Linked DNA regions of Saccharomyces cerevisiae S288C. Changing the gene in region 4 together with the main gene of any one other region gives a genetic interaction. Each region holds a gene or a part of one and is shown on either strand. Other genes may lie near its edges. The genes, in order: AZR1, AFT2, GDH3 and YEF1.

Evidence for each region.
Region 1: mutations in YEF1 (region 4) and AZR1 together harm fitness more than expected from each alone (negative genetic interaction), as found in Saccharomyces cerevisiae (one large-scale study listed by BioGRID).
Region 2: mutations in YEF1 (region 4) and AFT2 together harm fitness more than expected from each alone (negative genetic interaction), as found in Saccharomyces cerevisiae (one large-scale study listed by BioGRID).
Region 3: mutations in YEF1 (region 4) and GDH3 together harm fitness more than expected from each alone (negative genetic interaction), as found in Saccharomyces cerevisiae (one large-scale study listed by BioGRID).

What each region holds. Positions count from the first base shown.
Region 1 is NC_001139.9:941,209-945,147, forward strand, and holds AZR1 (azole transporter), read left to right. Parts: upstream 1-1,597; coding exon 1,598-3,439; downstream 3,440-3,939. Other genes in the region: phosphatidylinositol-3,5-bisphosphate binding protein HSV2, read right to left, coding at 1-1,007; AMA1 (Ama1p), read left to right, coding at 3,937-3,939. UniProt on the Saccharomyces cerevisiae protein: Transporter protein required for adaptation to high stress imposed by low-chain organic acids, in particular by acetic acid, and for resistance to azoles, especially to ketoconazole and fluconazole.
Region 2 is NC_001148.4:167,588-171,394, reverse strand, and holds AFT2 (Aft2p), read left to right. Parts: upstream 1-2,056; coding exon 2,057-3,307; downstream 3,308-3,807. Other genes in the region: YIG1 (Yig1p), read left to right, coding at 240-1,625. UniProt on the Saccharomyces cerevisiae protein: Transcription factor required for iron homeostasis and resistance to oxidative stress. With AFT1, activates the gene expression in response to low-iron conditions, also called iron regulon.
Region 3 is NC_001133.9:27,280-33,440, forward strand, and holds GDH3 (glutamate dehydrogenase (NADP(+)) GDH3), read left to right. Parts: upstream 1-4,287; coding exon 4,288-5,661; downstream 5,662-6,161. Other genes in the region: flocculin FLO9, read right to left, coding at 1-689.
Region 4 is NC_001137.3:72,631-78,948, forward strand, and holds YEF1 (NADH/NAD(+) kinase), read left to right. Parts: upstream 1-3,313; coding exon 3,314-4,801; downstream 4,802-6,318. Other genes in the region: GTA1 (Gta1p), read left to right, coding at 1-718; GDA1 (guanosine diphosphatase), read left to right, coding at 1,141-2,697; chitin transglycosylase UTR2, read left to right, coding at 5,423-6,318. UniProt on the Saccharomyces cerevisiae protein: ATP-NADH kinase with a low phosphorylation activity of both NADH and NAD(+) to produce NADP and NADPH by using ATP.

The DNA.
Region 1 (3,939 bases), on a different chromosome or scaffold from region 4:
TCCAAATACTTGGGCCTCCATAGGCCCTTCGGTATATAATTTTTCAAGGGATGGCTCGAACCATTGGCACGAGAGTGGTCTGGTGTATTCGTTTCTGTATTGGTTGTTTCAAAAATTTGGAAAATATGCAATGTTTGCTTATTTGACAATACGGCCAACTTACTACCATTGGGGCTGAAACTCATCTCGTAAATATCCGCCTTGTCCACCCCTCTTCTAAATTCTTTGATTAAAGTACCGTTATGCGTACTGAAGATTCTTATAAGTGTACCCTGGACGGAACATGTTGCTACCATGGTGCCTTGACGGTTCAGTCTAACCAGTTTGATGGGATTTTTATGTGCTTTAATGATGGAAGTGGGCAAAAGCGCTGATTCCTTCGGGTTTTGTGAATTATATTTTATTTGTGATAGGTCGGCTACTTGAATTTGGCCTACGCATTTATTCGATGGGAATGCAATGATTTCTAAGATTTTAGACTGTGACTGCGATGCTTGCGACTGGAGATGTTTGCTGCTACAAACGACATAGTCCACTGATCCATTGGGAGGGATATCCAAAATAGGACAAATTCTTTGAGGATTGGTTTGAAATTGGAAGATCTCTATTGTGTTCTCCAGGACTACCACAATATGAATCCTAGATAAAAACACGTCTTTAATGGAAGACATAAACTTCAAAGTAATCGTTTCCTTTTGCAAAAGATCATCCCAGATGATCAGTTTATTTAGAGCATGCCTTGGTCGTTTACCACCTCCGACTAGTGCGATGTAATTCGTACGATAAAGCATCCTGGTATAGCCAATCCCAGTGCCCCTGGATTGGTTGGTCGCAGACTCTTTAAATGTTTTCGATAGCTTACTAGTCAATGGATCTGTATTGAAAATACGAAATCCATTCTCTAACGCCACGCTGAAACACGAATCATCTTGGTTAAACGAAACGCTCAAAAATTTTGGTTTCCTCCTGTTGTTGACTGCCTCCCTTATAGGTCGACGAACATCCATCTGCTAGTTATGTATGCTTATAGTTGTCCTCTAATAATCGCTGCCTTTCCAGATCTTCTGGTTTCTCTTCCCTTTAACAATAGCCCCCGCAGTACGTATTACTAAGGTAAATAAATATAACCGGCTTTACAAGCCAGAAAGCCGTGATCACGTGATTATCAATTTCTTTATTTCATTTCGCTCAGATACTGCCAAAAGCCCCTGATCTTGAACACAAAGGTAAACAACGTTAATATGAACCTGGCTATCATCATTAGGATAGGCTCATTTTCTCTTTTTAACTCAGGCCCCTTTCTTGCACTGTTACCATAGGATCTTACCAATTTGCATTATTTCCGCCAACTAGCGGATATCCGCTGTATTTCCGCGCTTCTATATGCTATGGCTGGAAATACAATAAAAAGTGTCAAGCAGAACCACTACATTAATTTAAAGAAAAATGTCTTATATCAAAGAATCGGCACTGTATCAATTGATTATATATAATGCTAGAGTTTCCGTACCCTCTTGCAACGTCCTTTAAATCTTGTATCTTTTCTTCTACAATTGTAGTAACACCACGTCTACATTAGTATCTAAATTGCAGCCCAATGAAAGGCGAACCTAAGACTTACAGCATGAGCGACCTCTCATACTACGGTGAGAAAGCACAACAACAGAACGAGAAACAGCAAAAACAATATGTTGTGAGACGAAATTCTACGCAGTCAACATCAAAACAAAACGTGAGCGTGGTGCTCGAGGACAACGCCAGCGAAAGTAATGAACTACCTAAAGGGTTTATCTTGTACGCATCTTTGATAGCATTGGCTTTGTCGCTGTTTCTGGCAGCCTTGGATATCATGATAGTTTCTACAATCATTGAAGAAGTAGCTAAACAGTTTGGATCGTACTCTGAGATCGGGTGGTTATTTACCGGGTATAGCTTACCAAACGCTCTGTTGGCGTTGATATGGGGAAGAATTGCCACACCTATCGGATTCAAGGAGACCATGCTATTTGCTATTGTCATTTTTGAAATCGGGTCGCTGATCTCTGCTTTAGCAAATTCAATGAGTATGCTCATTGGTGGTAGAGTTATTGCTGGAGTCGGCGGTTGTGGTATTCAAAGTTTATCGTTCGTCATTGGTTCAACCCTGGTAGAGGAGTCGCAGAGAGGCATACTAATTGCTGTTTTGAGTTGTTCGTTTGCTATTGCATCTGTTGTTGGGCCTTTCCTTGGAGGAGTTTTCACCTCCAGCGTCACATGGAGATGGTGCTTCTATGTTAATTTACCGATCGGTGGCCTAGCATTTTTCTTATTCCTGTTCTTTTATAACCCAGGTTTAAGTACATTTCAAGAGACAATGGATAACATCCGCAAATTTCCATCACAGTTTATCGAAATTGTTCGGAATGTAGCATATCATTTATTGAAAATCAAAGGGTTTAGCAAACTTAATGGGTGGAGAAAGCCGTTCATGGAATTGATTTTCATGTATGATATTATCGAGTTTGTGTTTTGTTCAGCTGGATTCACATGTATTCTATTGGCTTTCACATTTGGCGGTAACCGGTATGCTTGGAACTCTGCATCCATCATTATTCTTTTCATCATCGGTATAGTCCTGGTAGTGTTAGCAGGTATCTATGATTTCCTTGTCTTCCCCAAATTTAATATAGTGAAAGCAACACCACATTACCAACCATTAATGTCATGGACAAATATCAAGAAACCAGGTATTTTCACGGTTAATATAGCCTTGTTTCTCACTTGTGCAGGATATATCAGTCAGTTTACGTATATTGTGCAATACTTCCAATTAATTTACAATGATTCCGCCTGGAGAGCCGCTGTACACCTGGTTGCTTGCATTATTTCTACAGTCGTTACAGCAATACTTTGCGGTGCTATCACCGACAAAACCCGCCAAATCAAACCGATTATTGTTATTTCAAGCATTTTTGGTGTTGTTGGTGCGGGTATATTAACCCTATTGAACAATAATGCCAATAACTCTGCTCACATCGGCCTTTTGATATTACCTGGCGTTGCTTTCGGTGGTTTGGCACAAAGTTCCATGCTCGCTTCTCAAATTCAGTTAGACAAGAAGAGCCCAACTTTTCGATCAGATTTTGTCTCTATTACCACTTTTAACACATTTTGCAAAAATCTAGGTCAAGCACTGGGAGGTGTCATCTCTAACACTGTTTTCAGTGCTGCTGCTATCAAGAAATTAACCAAGGCTAATATTCAGCTCCCAGATGGTACCACGGTAGACAATCTGGTAATCTATAGGCAGACCAATTTCGATGGCTCTCATTCCAAATTGGGCAATATAATTTCTGAATCTCTCACTGACGTCTTTTACATGGCATTAGGATTTTATGCATTATCTCTCATTTTTGCTGTTTTTGCTTCAAATAAGAAAGTCACAGCAAGCCTGAGATAAGTTAAGCACGATTTAGAAGGTGGCGAGCCTCAAAGTGTAAAGCTGCAGAAAAAATAAACATGACTTTTAGTAATTGGCTGTTTAGCTTGCTGAATTGTGTACCACAACTAACGATAACAGTAAGAGGGTAATCCGAGACAGTATGAGTACAGCTATTAAATAGTTAATTTAGATTTTTATACTGGTATGATAAACGACGTTCATATAGCAAGAGCGTCAATGCCTCTATGTCACCTTCAATAGAAGTTTCCCTTTTTATTTCGACTTTTGTTTTTGTATTTTTCGGCGTCTGCCTTGTTCCATTTTTAAGGCGCCAAAAATAAAATAAAATGATGAACGATTAGTACTCAAAGAACACTTTAATCCTTGGAAACAAAAAAATAAAAAATCAAAAGTTGAAGGAAGGTCAAATTTTCTTCCTCCAACGATAATAATACTTGCTTATATAACTCTTTTAAAGTTTTACAAAACTTTGGATCAGAAAAAAAGAAAAAAATATG
Region 2 (3,807 bases), on a different chromosome or scaffold from region 4:
CTTCGATTGCGCGGCTAAAGTTGCCATATTATTATTATATTGCAGCTCAACCCCGCATTTCCGGAGTTTTCTTTTTTTTTATTTGGGGTAATTTGGAGGTCGGCGGCTATTGGTGGGCCGGAAATGGTGACACACTTGTAATATATAAGGAGGAAATCCTACATGTGTATAAGCGAAATCACAAGGATAATAATGTATTGCTAAACACCCTCAAGAAAGAAAATAATCATAACGAAATCATGGGTATACCTATGCAAATATACCAGGATGGGAAGGGGGTGCAATTTTACCACACGAGATATCAGAACGTATTTGACGAACGGGCGAGCAAGTATGGCAACTACACGGTGAATAATGATTACCCACAGCTTCCAGATACGATAAAGGAACATATCGACCAGCTTACCTTTAGCAATGTCGGAGAGGATGGTGGAGATGTTGGAAACTATTCTGAAGAAGACGATGATGGTGACGAAGAAAAGGAACTTGAAGATGTTTTTCGAAGTAACCGTGGGTTGGAATTTGTACGGATTAATAACTATTTTACTACCCACGATTTACAAAGTTTCAAAAGTTTTAGAAATTTCAATAGCAAGTACTGGATTTTTTATTCTAATCAAGCAGAGGACAAAAAATTACTGCTGTATGACTTTAACGGCCAACATTTGATTTTTATTAAGCAGCAATTTTACGGGCAGTTGAATTTACTGCTATCGGACGCAATAATATGTATGGACTGCAATTTTGGTTATAATTCAAACACCATTCAAATTTTAGTTGGATTTCAGAATGGAAAGTTGTTAAAGCTAAACTGCGACTTGAACGGAAACGTAAACAATCACTTGCTTTTGAAGGATCCTTCAACTTCCTCTCATCAAAGCCACCTATCTATATTAAATGTCTGGGCAGGTTTGTTGCCACATTTCGTTGTTTCTTTTAGTTTGAAAGATGGGCTGCTAATAACTTCTTTAGATCACCAACAAAGCAATGGAAGTTTTCAAAGTTTCCATACCAACATTGATTTGCCTGTAGATCTACGCACGACCACAAATGTCAAGTCCGTTTTAAATTTCCCTCAGTTTACTTTATACAAAGGAAATGATATGATTTTCCACTGCAAGAATCTATTAGGATCGGATGCTTCCACGCTAAACAAGGAAATAAACTTTATGCTTAAAATAGACGAAGACGTTCAAAAGATCGACTATCTTCTTAAAACGAATCACATTTTACTCGAAACCAACATGAGATATCTGTCCATTCCAACAAGAGACCCCATAGAGAATTCAAATTCTTCTCCACCCGTCTCAGACAGCGAGGTTTATCCAATATTTTACAAGACACAAGAACTTCATGTCCATGCTTCAGGAACAGGACGTCAGATAGCAAACAATGGGAAGTATATTTTTATAACCGAGCAACATCTCTACGGAACAGCGTTATCGGTATACAAGTACTCTATATCTTTCAAACGGTGGCTGTTCGTGGGCTACTCAGACATTAGGGCCAAATACGGTATAAGGAGTGTCAAAGATCTCTTTGTTGGTAACTGTCCCTCTGTAAATAGCCCAGTGCTGACAATTCTTACTGATGACAATAACATTCAAACAATTCTTCTTAAATAAAGGTTAAGGAAATGTAAATAAAAAAAATAACAGTGACATTAATTTGTATATATCTCAACTTCTTCACTTTAACCTGTCTGAGCTGTTTGGTTTTGAACTGGAAGCACGTTTCTCATTTTATTGAACGATACCAGAGCCATTCATTATTCGATTGACGGTAAGCGGTATTGTGCGAAAAGCAAAGGGAAAAAATAGAAAGAACAAAAAAAAGAAAGAAAAAAGCACCGTAAAAAAAAAAATCGTTTCGTGGGCCGAGATCGGTAAAGTGGCTTTCTTTTAGTCAGAATTGATTTTCTTTTGATTAAGGCAAAAACTGTGCAAATTAAACTGATGGACCTATACATAATAGTGAACACGACTCATTCAAAAAATTTGTTGTAGTGACCAGAAACTCTGGCGCAAATTAATCAAGAGAAAGCGACCCCCAAGAAATGAAAGCAAAGTCGATGAAGAGCATAATATCTGTGCCAATATCAGTGTCTAAAACAGGGAAAATGAAGTTAACAGCATCTCCCGATAATCTAGCATCTATGATGTCTAAAGACCAAAATAAACTTATTCATTTAGACCCAGTTCCGTCTTTTGAGGACAGGCACGAGATTAAACCGTGGCTACAGAAAATATTCTATCCTCAAGGAATAGATATAGTCATCGAAAGATCAGATAGTAGCAAAGTTACTTTTAAGTGTAGGTCAGTACGATCGAAAGTAGGGTTGAACCCTAAATCCAAAGGTTCCTCTTCAAGATCCCATGCATGTCCATTTAGAATTAGAGCAGCCTACTCTGTGCGGTTACAGAAGTGGAACGTGGTTGTTATGAATAACATACATTCACATGAGCTGAGATTTGATTTGATTACTAAAACGGATGACTATAAAAAGTTTAAGGAAAATCTTCGTCAGAAGAACGACGAAAAAGCCATCAAAACATTTGATGAATTAGAATATAAAGCAAGTCTAAACTTACCACTCGTCACACCAATTATTTCTTGTGACTGTGGGTTAACCAAGGAAATTGAAGCTTTCAATAACATTTTTCTCCCACTATCAAACCCCCCTTTGACGTCTAAAAAAAATTTGCTCAAAACAAATAAAAACTCCGTTTCTAAAATAAAATCCAGACAGATGGATAATTCGAAACCTAGGCCAAGGTTGAAAACGAAGTTGGATGCGGATCTACATGATACCGGATTTTTAGACAATTTCAAAACGCGGAATTCCTGTGTAAAGATAGAGAAAGAAGATTCTTTAACGAACTTAAACGAAATTGATTTTACGAACATGTTTTGCAACGACAATTTCATCCAAAATTACAACCAAGGCCTGATGGAACTTTTGACAGAACCTACACCAGGTCCTTCGTCCTCTTCTTGTATACTTCCTTCAACACCAACGAGGCCCTTGTCACAAAGCAAAATGGATATAGCCCTGTCAGAATCAACAACATCTTCACCAAATTTTATGGAAACAGACGCTCCTTATGGAGATGAGATCATTAAAGTTTCCAAAGATACCAAAAGCAACGCACCAACTGCTGATACAGATATTGCTACGAACTTAGGCAAAGAGAGAAACGAAAATTTTGGCATGTTAAACTACAACTACGAAGCGTTGCTTCATTTCAACGATGAGCATTTTAATGAATTAAATTCTATTGACCCAGCCTTAATATCAAAATATTAATTATTTAGTTTTCAACTCATTAAAACGGTATCACGTTTAAATATGTGACAAGATCTGATGGACATGAATAATGGTGATATCAGCACCATCGAGGGATTTTGGACCTTAGACTTTTTAAAGCTACGGAGGACTTAAAGCATGTCGATACAAATAAGATATATCATGGCTTCATGCGCTCAAAAGTTTTATTCTTCAAGTTTGTTGATTATAATATGGTTCACGTGCGCTTCATCTTTTCATAGGTAATGCACCGCAACATTCAATTATCTAAAAAACTTTCAGGCGTGCCGGTCCCCTAATTTTTGCACTGAGATCATGAGATCAGTAAGTAAAAGCTCATATAGGAAATAATCATATAGAAAAAAGCAGAGGAATGATATTCGAACATTTTCTATACATCACCCCTCCTATTTTTAGATGAATCTCTAAGATCTAAATGCCCTCAACTTAAATATGATATTGAATTAAAATGAATTGTAGTATAGAAGATATTTAGGGCA
Region 3 (6,161 bases), on a different chromosome or scaffold from region 4:
GTACCCCAGGCAACGGCATTTGAGTAAACAATCTTCATTGGATAATAGAAACCAGCATACATGTAGACAGTCCCTGTAATATTATCAGGGGGACTTCCATTCCATGGCTTGATACCATTGATGGTGAAGTTAGTCGACGTGATGGGAGGTTGTTCTTGTGCACAACATTCGAACGCAATGCTACCACCGACTGATAGAATTGCAGAGTCGTCAACTGTAGCAAACTTGAATGTGTAAGAACCCGTCTGTGGTGGTAAAAAATAACCTGTCATTTCTAGGGTTACGTTTGTTGGGGTAGTATAGAAACCAAATAAATCAGTACTCCAGTATGCAATTATTGGATTATTAGAACAAGCACCAATTCCTTTGCATCCCCAATTACCATATAAATCTTCTTGAGGACAAGGAAATGTGCCTGATGAACTAACACAAGGAATATTATAATCAATCGAGATATCAGTTTGTCCTCCGACAGAACCCAGTTTAGTTTTTGAGGCATATCCATAAGCCATATATGCTGCATTCGAATATGTGGAGGAATCTCTCAATGAATACTGGTAAAAGTTTACATTCATACCATTCTTCCTTGAGTTTGCTGGCAGGCATGCCGCTGTAGTCGCAGAGACAACATTAGTTAATCCCAGCAATGTGACGATGGCTAGTAGTAAACAATAATGTGCCAGAGACATTTTTGGGGCTTTTATTGTACAATTGTTCTTTTTAAATTGCAATTTAAAGAGCGTACCTGTAAATAAGAAGGAAGAACGTTATGTTATTAATGGACTTTTAGTGTCATCGAATTTTATGTAATATATAAGAAGGTAGAATAATTTGGCAGGATAATGTGTTAGCAAAGGAGGAAATCGAATACCTTTAAAAGAGAAAAAATTTTTTAGCTGCTTAAATTTCTGTGTTATACCACCCGATAGATTTTGAGTTATGCTTTCTAATTGATCTGACTGCGAACGTTTTCTTTATGCCATCTGAATTGTCAGGAACAAAGAAGAAAAAGAAAAGTTTTTAAAAAATCTGTGGTCGTGTGTGATGTACCTTTCCTTTACATGCATTAATGCGCTCTGAAATGTGGTACGATATCCTTACAGAGAATATATTTTCTGTATATCGTGCAATGTTGAATAACCTATGAAGGAAAGTACCCATCGCTCAAGGTAAGCATTCCAGGAGGGTCGCCAGAAACTTAAACTAGTTTTAGCGACAGATCCGAAAATTGATAGAGACATTGAAAAAATCACTACTCCGTCCTTTTTAGTGCTTTCTCAATGCATAATTTTGGTGCACGACTAAAAAATTCTAGAACACTATAGTTGCATTTTTTGGGCCGGAAGAAGAAAAACGCATGTAACTTTAATGTCAAATAAAGTTTTCACCTAGTAAGCGCGATACAAAAAAAACACAGAAATAGCCATAGGAAAGTGAATTTTGTCAGCCGACTAAAATTAAGGTTAGCTTACAAAGCAGCAAAAAATTTGACATCGCACGGTATTCCCTGAAAAAGGAGCAGGCAGGTGCTGTATATTTTTTTCGGTTCCTGCCTCTTACATGGCGTCGGTGTATCTTAAATACTAAAGTGAGCTGACTACCCTTTTGAGTGCCCTATGTGACCTCTGATCTCGAAAGTAAACAAGAGATACCTAATTTCACAGCCACTTTTTGTTGCGGACACTGACGGGATGTGTTGTGAATATTTTAAACCTTAAAAGTATTTATTGGTTAGTTATACTTAATTCTTATACGTCCTTTAAAACCAGTGTGCAGTAAGTCTGTCACACAAAAATATGATTGATGCATTTTCAAAAAATAATGGCTTTGAGGTAATTCGTTCCACTTTTGAGACTTATTCACATGTCCCAGCTGGGTGCAATCAAAATATACCGGCATTTCAGCAAGGTAACTATATACGCTTTTTTTCTCATGGTTTTTGAAATCATACCTGCCAAGCTTGCTGCACTTGGAAGGCAACTCCGTTTTTCAGAGATTAGATCCTTTTTTTTTTGAAGAAAAGGCAGCCAAGTTACGTCATAGAGAAAACTCCCTAGAGCGCTGCAAACACTTGTTAGTTTGCAGCTTACTTCACGTGTGGCTGGAAAATTGAAAAGTTACAATACGGTAAAAATACTTTGAAGACACTACACTATAACTGCTTGACCAAATTTTTACTCGTGAAAAATTTGTTCCAGCCGGTCTGTTACTGATATTAAGTTAAGGAATAGTAAACCGTATATTTTTCATCCACGTTTTTGTAGTTTATTTTCGGTTTACTAGCTATGCATTGATTGTCTATCAGAGCATATCAAGGTGGTTATGGAGGTGCTGATATTTAATCAATAAAATTATAGAAATTTTGAGAAAACAATAATGATTGTTTCTACAATGAAAATCAGTTCATGGAATAGTTGCCTTCGCACTACTTTTTCACCAGATTAATGGTGCATCAGAGCTTTCCCTTTTTGTCTTTTTCTTGTTTCCTTTTTCGATTGGTTTATCACGTAAGTTTCTTATGACATAAGAAGAGGCAAGAAACGAAAAGGGAAATATTGCCTACTTTTTTCTTTTCGAACGTAAATAATGACGGGATTTTGGTGTCATTTTTTTTCGTCTGGATTTTCTCAGAGAAGTACGTTTCGTCGCACAAGCTAAAATCATTGACAGGGCATGAGTTACGTCAATCTCTGGTCAATCCATGTCCAAAAAAATTTCTTGATTTGTTCAAAGTTTTTGCATAGGCACATTAATTGGTTTAGCGAAGTATACATTCTGAAGAACATTTTTGGGTGTATTTTCCACATAGAAAATTCGATTTTTTTTTTTCAATGCACCACTTGTCGAGTATACGTTAACTTTAATGTATTGAAGATGCAAAAATGAAAAGCCTACTTGGCATATGGAATTACAATAAATGGTCAATTCCTGTTTAAGCTAGCAGCGGCACTGTCGGTGTAAATTTGGGTTTAAACTATTGTTTACTTACTTTGAGAAATTTATGTATCGCCTATATTTTTCAATAAGTGCGATATCTTTAGCTTTCCACAGAACCCCCCCTCAGGCTATGGACGTGCGGTTATATGATCTTCTAATAAAAATCTCTTAGACTACGGTTCATGGAATACTTCTTGACTTCTTGGCGAAGGAAAGGCGCATAAATGTTGTGATCGAATGACCAGTAATACGTCGTTTGTTCTCTTGCTGAACAGCGAGGAAGAGATATTCATCCAAATGCATGAACGCAGAATCCTGTAAAAGTCGTAAAAATGTTAATCGCAATGTTGTAAAAACCGTCAAGGCATTTATCGTTCAAAATGGCGATCATTGTTACTACTAAACACTTACTGTTAAATTAAAAAGCTGATGTTGCGTAATCCATTGACCAATTCATAGGCAATGTATTTCAATGACGCACAAGATTCATAACAAATTTTTTATTTACGATGTACCTGTACATTGTGCAGAAGGTCTTCAGAGTGAGTTTAAGCTAGGCTGTAAATATTTTAATGTTAAGATGAAATTTAAGTGAGCTGGTAATATCAAGTGAGGCATAATTTGTTATATGTAGCTGAACTTCAACTTTAAATAGAAAAATTACAACTAACAAGCACCGGATTGTTTCAGAATTCAAAGTGTAGAAGCTATTATTCTTGCAAAATAAAACGCTTTCAAAGTTTTCTTCTATAAACATACTTGTGGCAGCTTGTTTTTTTTGTTTTATTTTTAAGTTTTGTTGGGTCTCTGAGAACTTTCAAAAAAAGAAAAAGTAAAGTATGATAAAACGGAGCACTTGCCAAAGTAATTAACGCCCATTAAAAAGAAGGCATAGGAGGCATATACATATATATATATATATATATATATGGCTGCTGACAGATATTCTGCACTTAAAAACTAAAAATATTATACCAACTTTTCTTTTTCTTCCCGTTCAGTTTGCTTGATTGGCCCAGCTCTTTGAAGAAAGGAAAAAATGCGGAGAGGGAGCCAATGAGATTTTAAAGGGTATATTACTTATCTTATCGATAAGCAGTATTGATATTAAAGGGACAGTTTTATCGTTGGTTAATATGGAAAAAGTGATGACCATGATGCCTTTCTTAAAAAGAGTATTTCTTTTTATTTCACTTTCACATAAACAGTTAATGACTTCTGACTTTGAGCCGTTCGAACTCAGTTATATAAAGGTACATACATAGGCCACACACACACACACACACACATATATATATATATATAGGGAAGTAGCAACAGTCACCGAAAAGAAAAGGTAAAAAGTAAAAAATGACAAGCGAACCAGAGTTTCAGCAGGCTTACGATGAGATCGTTTCTTCTGTGGAGGATTCCAAAATTTTTGAAAAATTCCCACAGTATAAAAAAGTGTTACCTATTGTTTCTGTCCCGGAGAGGATCATTCAATTCAGGGTCACGTGGGAAAATGATAATGGCGAGCAAGAAGTGGCTCAAGGATACAGGGTGCAGTTCAATTCAGCCAAGGGCCCTTACAAGGGTGGCCTACGCTTCCACCCATCAGTGAACCTGTCTATCCTAAAATTTTTGGGTTTTGAACAGATCTTCAAGAATGCGCTCACTGGGCTAGATATGGGCGGTGGTAAGGGTGGCCTGTGTGTGGACTTGAAAGGCAAGTCTGACAACGAGATCAGAAGGATTTGTTATGCGTTCATGAGAGAACTGAGCAGGCATATTGGTAAGGACACAGACGTGCCCGCAGGAGATATTGGTGTCGGTGGCCGTGAAATTGGCTACCTATTCGGCGCTTACAGATCATACAAGAACTCCTGGGAAGGTGTGTTGACTGGTAAGGGTTTAAACTGGGGTGGCTCACTTATCAGGCCGGAGGCCACCGGGTTCGGCTTAGTTTACTATACGCAAGCAATGATCGATTATGCAACAAACGGCAAGGAGTCGTTTGAGGGCAAACGTGTGACAATCTCCGGAAGTGGCAATGTTGCGCAATATGCAGCTTTGAAAGTGATCGAGCTGGGTGGTATTGTGGTGTCTTTATCCGATTCGAAGGGGTGCATCATCTCTGAGACGGGCATTACTTCTGAGCAAATTCACGATATCGCTTCCGCCAAGATCCGTTTCAAGTCGTTAGAGGAAATCGTTGATGAATACTCTACTTTCAGCGAAAGTAAGATGAAGTACGTTGCAGGAGCACGCCCATGGACGCATGTGAGCAACGTCGACATTGCCTTGCCCTGTGCCACCCAAAACGAGGTCAGTGGTGACGAAGCCAAGGCCCTAGTGGCATCTGGCGTTAAGTTCGTTGCCGAAGGTGCTAACATGGGTTCTACACCCGAGGCTATTTCTGTTTTCGAAACAGCGCGTAGCACTGCAACCAATGCAAAGGATGCAGTTTGGTTTGGGCCACCAAAGGCAGCTAACCTGGGCGGCGTGGCAGTATCCGGTCTGGAAATGGCTCAGAATTCTCAAAAAGTAACTTGGACTGCCGAGCGGGTCGATCAAGAACTAAAGAAGATAATGATCAACTGCTTCAACGACTGCATACAGGCCGCACAAGAGTACTCTACGGAAAAAAATACAAACACCTTGCCATCATTGGTCAAGGGGGCCAACATTGCCAGCTTCGTCATGGTGGCTGACGCAATGCTTGACCAGGGAGACGTTTTTTAGCCGTAAGCGCTATTTTCTTTTTGTTCGTAACTATCTGTGTATGTAGTAGTGTAATCTACTTTTAATTTACTATGCAAATAGGGTTCAGCATTACGGAAGAAACTGAAATCCCTTCCGCGGAAGTTTCTTAGTAGTGGCCGTGCGGGGTGAGGAGATTACATGTCGGTAATTAGATGATTAACCTAGGCAATTTGAAGGGGGATAGTGGCATTGGTTAGCTCAGATATGATAAGGAGAACTAAGCAAGGGGGTTAACCACCACGGCTGTAGCACAAGACCGGCAGATGCGATTATTAGCAACACATTAGTTAATGCTTTTGATAAAATGTATATAAAGGCTGTCGTAATGTGCAGTAGTAAGGACCTGACTGTGTTTGTGGTTCTCTTCATTCTTGAACCTTGTCATTGGTAAAAGACCATCGTCAAGATATTTGAAAGTTAATAGACAGTTAACAATAATAACAACAGCAATAAGAATAACAATAAATTCATTGAACATA
Region 4 (6,318 bases):
AGTAATATCTCCATATTCTAGTTCTCATTTGCGACAAACCTCCAACGCAACCAATACGAATCCTATGCATCCACAGAGTCTACTCGCCGCTACATTGAATGATCCTTCATTACAAAGTTTTGTACGCAGTGGTTCTTTCTACAGTGCTCCGCAACCTGCAAACTCCTTACAGAACAATATCAATGGCAATGAAACCGAGAACATTAGTCCAAGGATATCAAGTGACTTCAATTTATTGGTGCCAAACTTGAGCCCACGACTCTCAAACGATGTGCCCATTGTTCCAGGCAATAACACTACTTTAACACCTTCACACTCGAACATATTAACAATGAACCATCAACCAACGGCGGATAACATTACACGAAGATCTTTCCATGCCTCTTCACCACCTTTCAACTCCATATGGAATTCAAATACAAATCAACTTTCTCCTCCATTGGAGGAGCAGTATCACCTCGATGTGCCTGTGGGTCCAAAGGTTCCCGCTAAAGAACCAAGCCCTAAGCCTTCTCACAAGAGGAACCAAAGTAACAGCAGCATTTCTTCTGCATGGTCCAAGTTTAAGCACAAGTCTGCATCATCACCTGCTAATGCGGACACGGATATTCAAGATTCATCAACTCCATCAACTAGTCCAAGCGGTAGAAGAATGTCAAAACTGTTGTCCAAGAGCGGTATGAATAATCTATTTAACCCGCACAGTCACGACTCATGAACAATATTATAATACTTCCAGGTCGTGTATATATGTAGATATATAAATTATGAAACATAATATATGAAAGCAGTTTGAGCTTATTCTTAATCATCAATAGGGTAACGGTATTAATCTCATTTTTTCTTTTTTTTTTTCTTTTTATTTTGGCGTCTCGTCTCAATTTCATTTTTCCCATCTTTTTACAACTTCAATATGAAAAACATAACACATGAAAAATAACTGTCAACATTAATAATATTCCTTGCATAGTGCTTCGATTTTCCAAATATAAAAACAGTTTCTTTTACAAGCTTATTTAATTTTGGTTTTAAGGAGAAAGCACTAATAAAAAGGGCAAGGACTGCAATCAACAATCTTTATTGGCGAACAGTTAAGGGTCCTCTCGAGAAGAAACATTAAGACATCATCGCACAAAAAACATGGCGCCCATCTTTAGAAATTACCGGTTCGCTATCGGTGCTTTTGCCGTTATTATGCTCATTTTGTTGATTAAAACATCTTCCATCGGTCCACCTTCTATTGCACGTACAGTTACTCCTAATGCTAGTATTCCCAAAACTCCGGAGGACATCTCTATCTTGCCCGTCAATGATGAACCAGGTTACCTTCAAGATTCGAAGACTGAACAAAACTATCCTGAGCTTGCCGATGCTGTGAAGTCACAAACAAGTCAAACATGCAGCGAAGAACATAAGTATGTTATCATGATCGATGCCGGCTCTACCGGTTCCCGAGTACATATATACAAGTTTGACGTCTGTACTTCCCCACCTACATTACTTGATGAAAAATTCGACATGTTAGAGCCTGGTTTATCTTCTTTCGATACCGATTCCGTTGGTGCCGCTAACTCCCTTGACCCATTACTGAAAGTAGCAATGAACTATGTCCCTATTAAGGCAAGAAGTTGTACTCCCGTTGCGGTGAAAGCTACTGCAGGCCTAAGACTCTTGGGTGATGCCAAATCTTCAAAAATTTTGAGCGCTGTAAGGGATCATTTGGAGAAGGACTATCCTTTCCCAGTTGTCGAAGGTGATGGTGTTTCCATCATGGGCGGTGATGAAGAAGGTGTCTTCGCCTGGATTACTACAAACTACCTATTAGGTAATATCGGTGCTAATGGCCCCAAGTTACCTACTGCTGCCGTTTTTGACTTAGGCGGAGGGTCTACACAAATTGTTTTTGAGCCTACTTTCCCAATAAATGAAAAAATGGTCGATGGTGAGCATAAATTTGATTTGAAGTTTGGTGATGAAAATTACACCTTGTACCAATTTTCTCATCTAGGTTACGGTTTGAAGGAAGGAAGAAATAAAGTTAACTCTGTTCTTGTGGAAAATGCATTAAAAGACGGCAAAATATTGAAGGGTGATAACACTAAGACTCATCAATTGTCATCTCCATGCCTACCGCCTAAAGTTAATGCCACAAATGAAAAGGTTACATTAGAATCCAAGGAAACTTATACCATTGACTTTATAGGGCCGGACGAGCCAAGTGGTGCACAATGTAGATTTCTGACTGATGAAATTTTGAATAAAGATGCTCAGTGCCAGTCTCCACCATGCTCTTTCAATGGGGTTCACCAACCTTCTTTAGTTCGTACATTCAAAGAATCGAACGATATCTATATTTTCTCTTATTTCTACGACAGAACCCGTCCATTGGGTATGCCCTTGTCCTTTACTTTGAATGAATTGAACGATTTGGCAAGAATAGTGTGTAAAGGCGAAGAAACTTGGAATAGTGTCTTCAGTGGCATTGCGGGGTCCCTAGATGAATTGGAAAGTGACTCGCACTTCTGTTTGGACTTATCTTTTCAAGTGTCCTTATTACATACGGGATATGACATTCCATTACAAAGAGAATTGAGAACTGGAAAGAAAATTGCCAATAAAGAAATCGGTTGGTGTTTAGGTGCGTCATTACCATTGTTGAAAGCTGATAACTGGAAATGTAAAATTCAATCAGCTTGAATAAGAACATGGACACCGCTTTTCGTCCCATGTATATTAAGGAAGAGGAGATTGCGGTGATATGTATTCTGTTATATGTCCTATTCTATAACCCTTGAACAATATGTAAACGATTTTTACGTTATGAAAATCACTATTATCCCCACAATAGTTTATTATAACACCGCCGCCAAGACAGGGGATTGAAAAGGCCTTCCGAGGTTTATCCATTTTTGGTAAAAGCCCGCCACGCCTTCAGGTGTTTGAGTATGAACTGGAAGAGTTATCTGTTAGGACCTCATAATCTTGAACATATGAGATAATTTAATATACTTTTGTTATGGATTGTTCCGTTGTTTTAAGACTATATGGCTTTGTTTTAGTTTTAGGGTGATTGTGGATATCACACCGGTCCTCAAGAAAATCGAAAACAAAAGGATAATCGGACTTATCTGGTGATCGAAGAAACTGCATTTCAGGTCGTTTAATAAACTGCTAGCTATTGATATTATATATATAAATAAACCTACAATCAGGTTAGTGTATTCATCTCACTTCTATAGCGTTGTGAAAGGGAAATGGAAATAGTGCAATCTCAATAAATCTGCTTACGTGACATTTTTTACTAAAAGAGAATATGAAAACTGATAGATTACTGATTAACGCTTCCCCGGAGACATGTACCAAGGGAGATGCTGAGATGGATACTATGGATACTATTGACAGAATGACATCAGTTAAAGTTTTAGCGGAAGGCAAGGTATTAAGCAACTTCGAAGAACCGGGCTTAATGAGGTGCGGTTATCATGATGCAAAAAACTGGGTCAGAAGATTATCGAGCGAAACAATTGTCGGTGAGGACACGAGTAATTTATACCCATTTTATGTTGATACTGCATACGATGTAAGGCGTTTGAGAAAGGATCTTATAAATGCTAAGGTTGACTTGCAGGTTGAAAACCTGATAATAATCTGCAATATTAATGATATTTCCACTGTATTTCTCATGAGAGAAGTGGTGGAATGGATCTTACGCAATTTCCATTCAATAACTGTATATGTACAAGATATTTTTAAAAAGTCAACTCAGTTTGCTGTTGGTGACCTCTGCAAAGACAGCAATTGCAGTAAAAACAGAGTAAAGTATTGGTCAAAAGAATTTGTTAAAAAACACGATTCATTCTTTGACTTGATGATTACACTAGGGGGTGATGGAACTGTCCTTTTTGCTTCATCTATATTCACGAAAGATGTTCCGCCGATTGTTCCATTTGCCCTTGGATCATTAGGATTTCTAACAAATTTTGAATTTCAAAATTTCAAAGAAACGTTGAAACATATCTTAACAGATGAGGTTCGTATTAATTTACGAATGAGGTTGCAATGCAAACTCTACCGTAGAAATAAACCAGAAATTGATGCCGCAACTGGGAGAAAAATATGTTACATCGATTTCATCTCCGAACATCACGTATTGAACGAAGTAACCATAGATAGAGGTCCAGCTCCTTGTTTATCCCTATTAGAACTCTATGGAAACGACTCACTAATGACTAAGGTTCAGGGAGATGGATTGATTGTTGCCACGCCTACGGGATCCACGGCATACTCATTGAGTGCAGGAGGCTCTTTAATATCGCCAAGCGTAAATGCCATAGCGGTGACGCCTATATGTCCTCATACTTTGAGCTTTAGGCCTATAATTTTACCAGATAGCATGGAATTAAAAGTTAGAGTAGATATGAACTCAAGAGGGACGTCGTGGGTGAATTTTGACGGAAAAGATAGAGTTGAATTGAAACAGGGTGACTATGTTGTGATAACTGCAAGCCCCTATTCGGTACCGACTATCGAGTCATCTGCCAGTGAATTTTTTGAAAGTATCAGTAAAAATCTTAATTGGAATGACCGCGAAGAGCAGAAGCCATTTGCACATATTCTCTCGCCAAAAAATCAAGAAAAATATAGATTAGACTCATCGAAAAATGGAAACGACACCATAAGTAATCCCCTCGAGAGTTCATGCATAAGCTCAGATGCACAAGATGAGGAGAGGAAATCCGTAACGGAAACAGAAACAGAAATAGTTGTTGAACGGACTCGTCAGGCTCATTTTGCAATCTAACGATTTCCCACATCCTGCGTTTCCGTAGTCAAGGGTTCATAATGGATGATGAGCCTGTAAACAGCTTTGTATTTACCTCTTTTACTTCAAGAATGCTCTTGCGTCGTTTGCAGTGTCGAAGAAGATCCAGTAGAGCTATACAAAATGGAGAAATGAAACAGTTGAACCAGAGCGCCGCATTTGGCAGGTAGTTTCGCTAAATTTCCTCATGCGCGTTTGTAATTATGCTAGTTAACCATATGATAAGGTTGCCTAACTTGCAGTCACCGGAAGGTTATTTCCGGAATGGTGCAGAATAATTTTTAAAATAGTAGCATATATTTCGTTCCAATTCCCAAATAGGGAATTATAATTATGACAGATAAATTCCCGATTAGGAAGAAGCGCGAAAATTCTTGAAAAACTTTTTTCAACCTCGAAGAAAATCGTCGTCCTTCGAAGATTTAGTGGGAATCTTCAAGGTGGATAGTTTCCAAATTAAAACTGCAGAAGAGGCTTTTAAAACATGCCTGAGGTATAAAAAGAACAACATTCCTGGTGATTATGGTTTCTGTTGGACCCTGTTCCCTTTGTAAAACTTCTATTTATTGTCCTGCAAATAAGCTAATTATATAATTAATAATGGCAATCGTTAATAGTTGGCTAATTTGTTTAGTCAGTATTTTTTCCTTCGTGGTACGTGTAGAGGCCGCTACATTTTGCAATGCAACTCAAGCATGTCCCGAAGATAAACCATGTTGCTCACAATATGGTGAATGTGGTACTGGTCAATATTGTCTGAACAACTGTGATGTAAGATATTCGTTTAGTCATGATTCATGTATGCCTGTACCTATCTGCAAGAGTTCATCCACTAAATTCAAAGATTATTCCTCTAAGTTGGGGAATGCTAACACTTTCTTAGGAAATGTTAGTGAGGCTGATTGGTTGTATACTGGTGACGTTTTGGATTATGATGATGAAGAAAGTTTAATTTTGGCGATGCCCAAGAACAGTGGTGGTACCGTTCTTTCCTCCACGAGGGCTGTTTGGTATGGTAAGGTCAGTGCTAGAATAAAGACGTCACATCTTGCTGGTGTGGTCACTGGGTTCATTCTGTATTCCGGCGCAGGTGATGAACTTGATTACGAATTCGTCGGTGCTGATCTAGAAACTGCTCAAACCAATTTCTATTGGGAAAGTGTTTTGAACTACACGAATTCTGCCAATATTTCCACTACTGATACATTTGAAAACTACCATACTTACGAATTAGATTGGCACGAAGATTATGTAACATGGTCCATCGATGGTGTCGTCGGTAGAACCTTGTACAAGAACGAAACTTATAACGCCACCACCCAAAAATATCAATACCCACAAACCCCATCCAAGGTGGATATTTCCATTTGGCCAGGTGGTAATTCTACCAACGCTCCAGGAACCATTGCATGGTCTGGTGGTGAAATTAATTGGGACGCATCCGATATCAGCAACCCAGGATATTATTATGCTATTGTCAATGAAGTTAATATCAC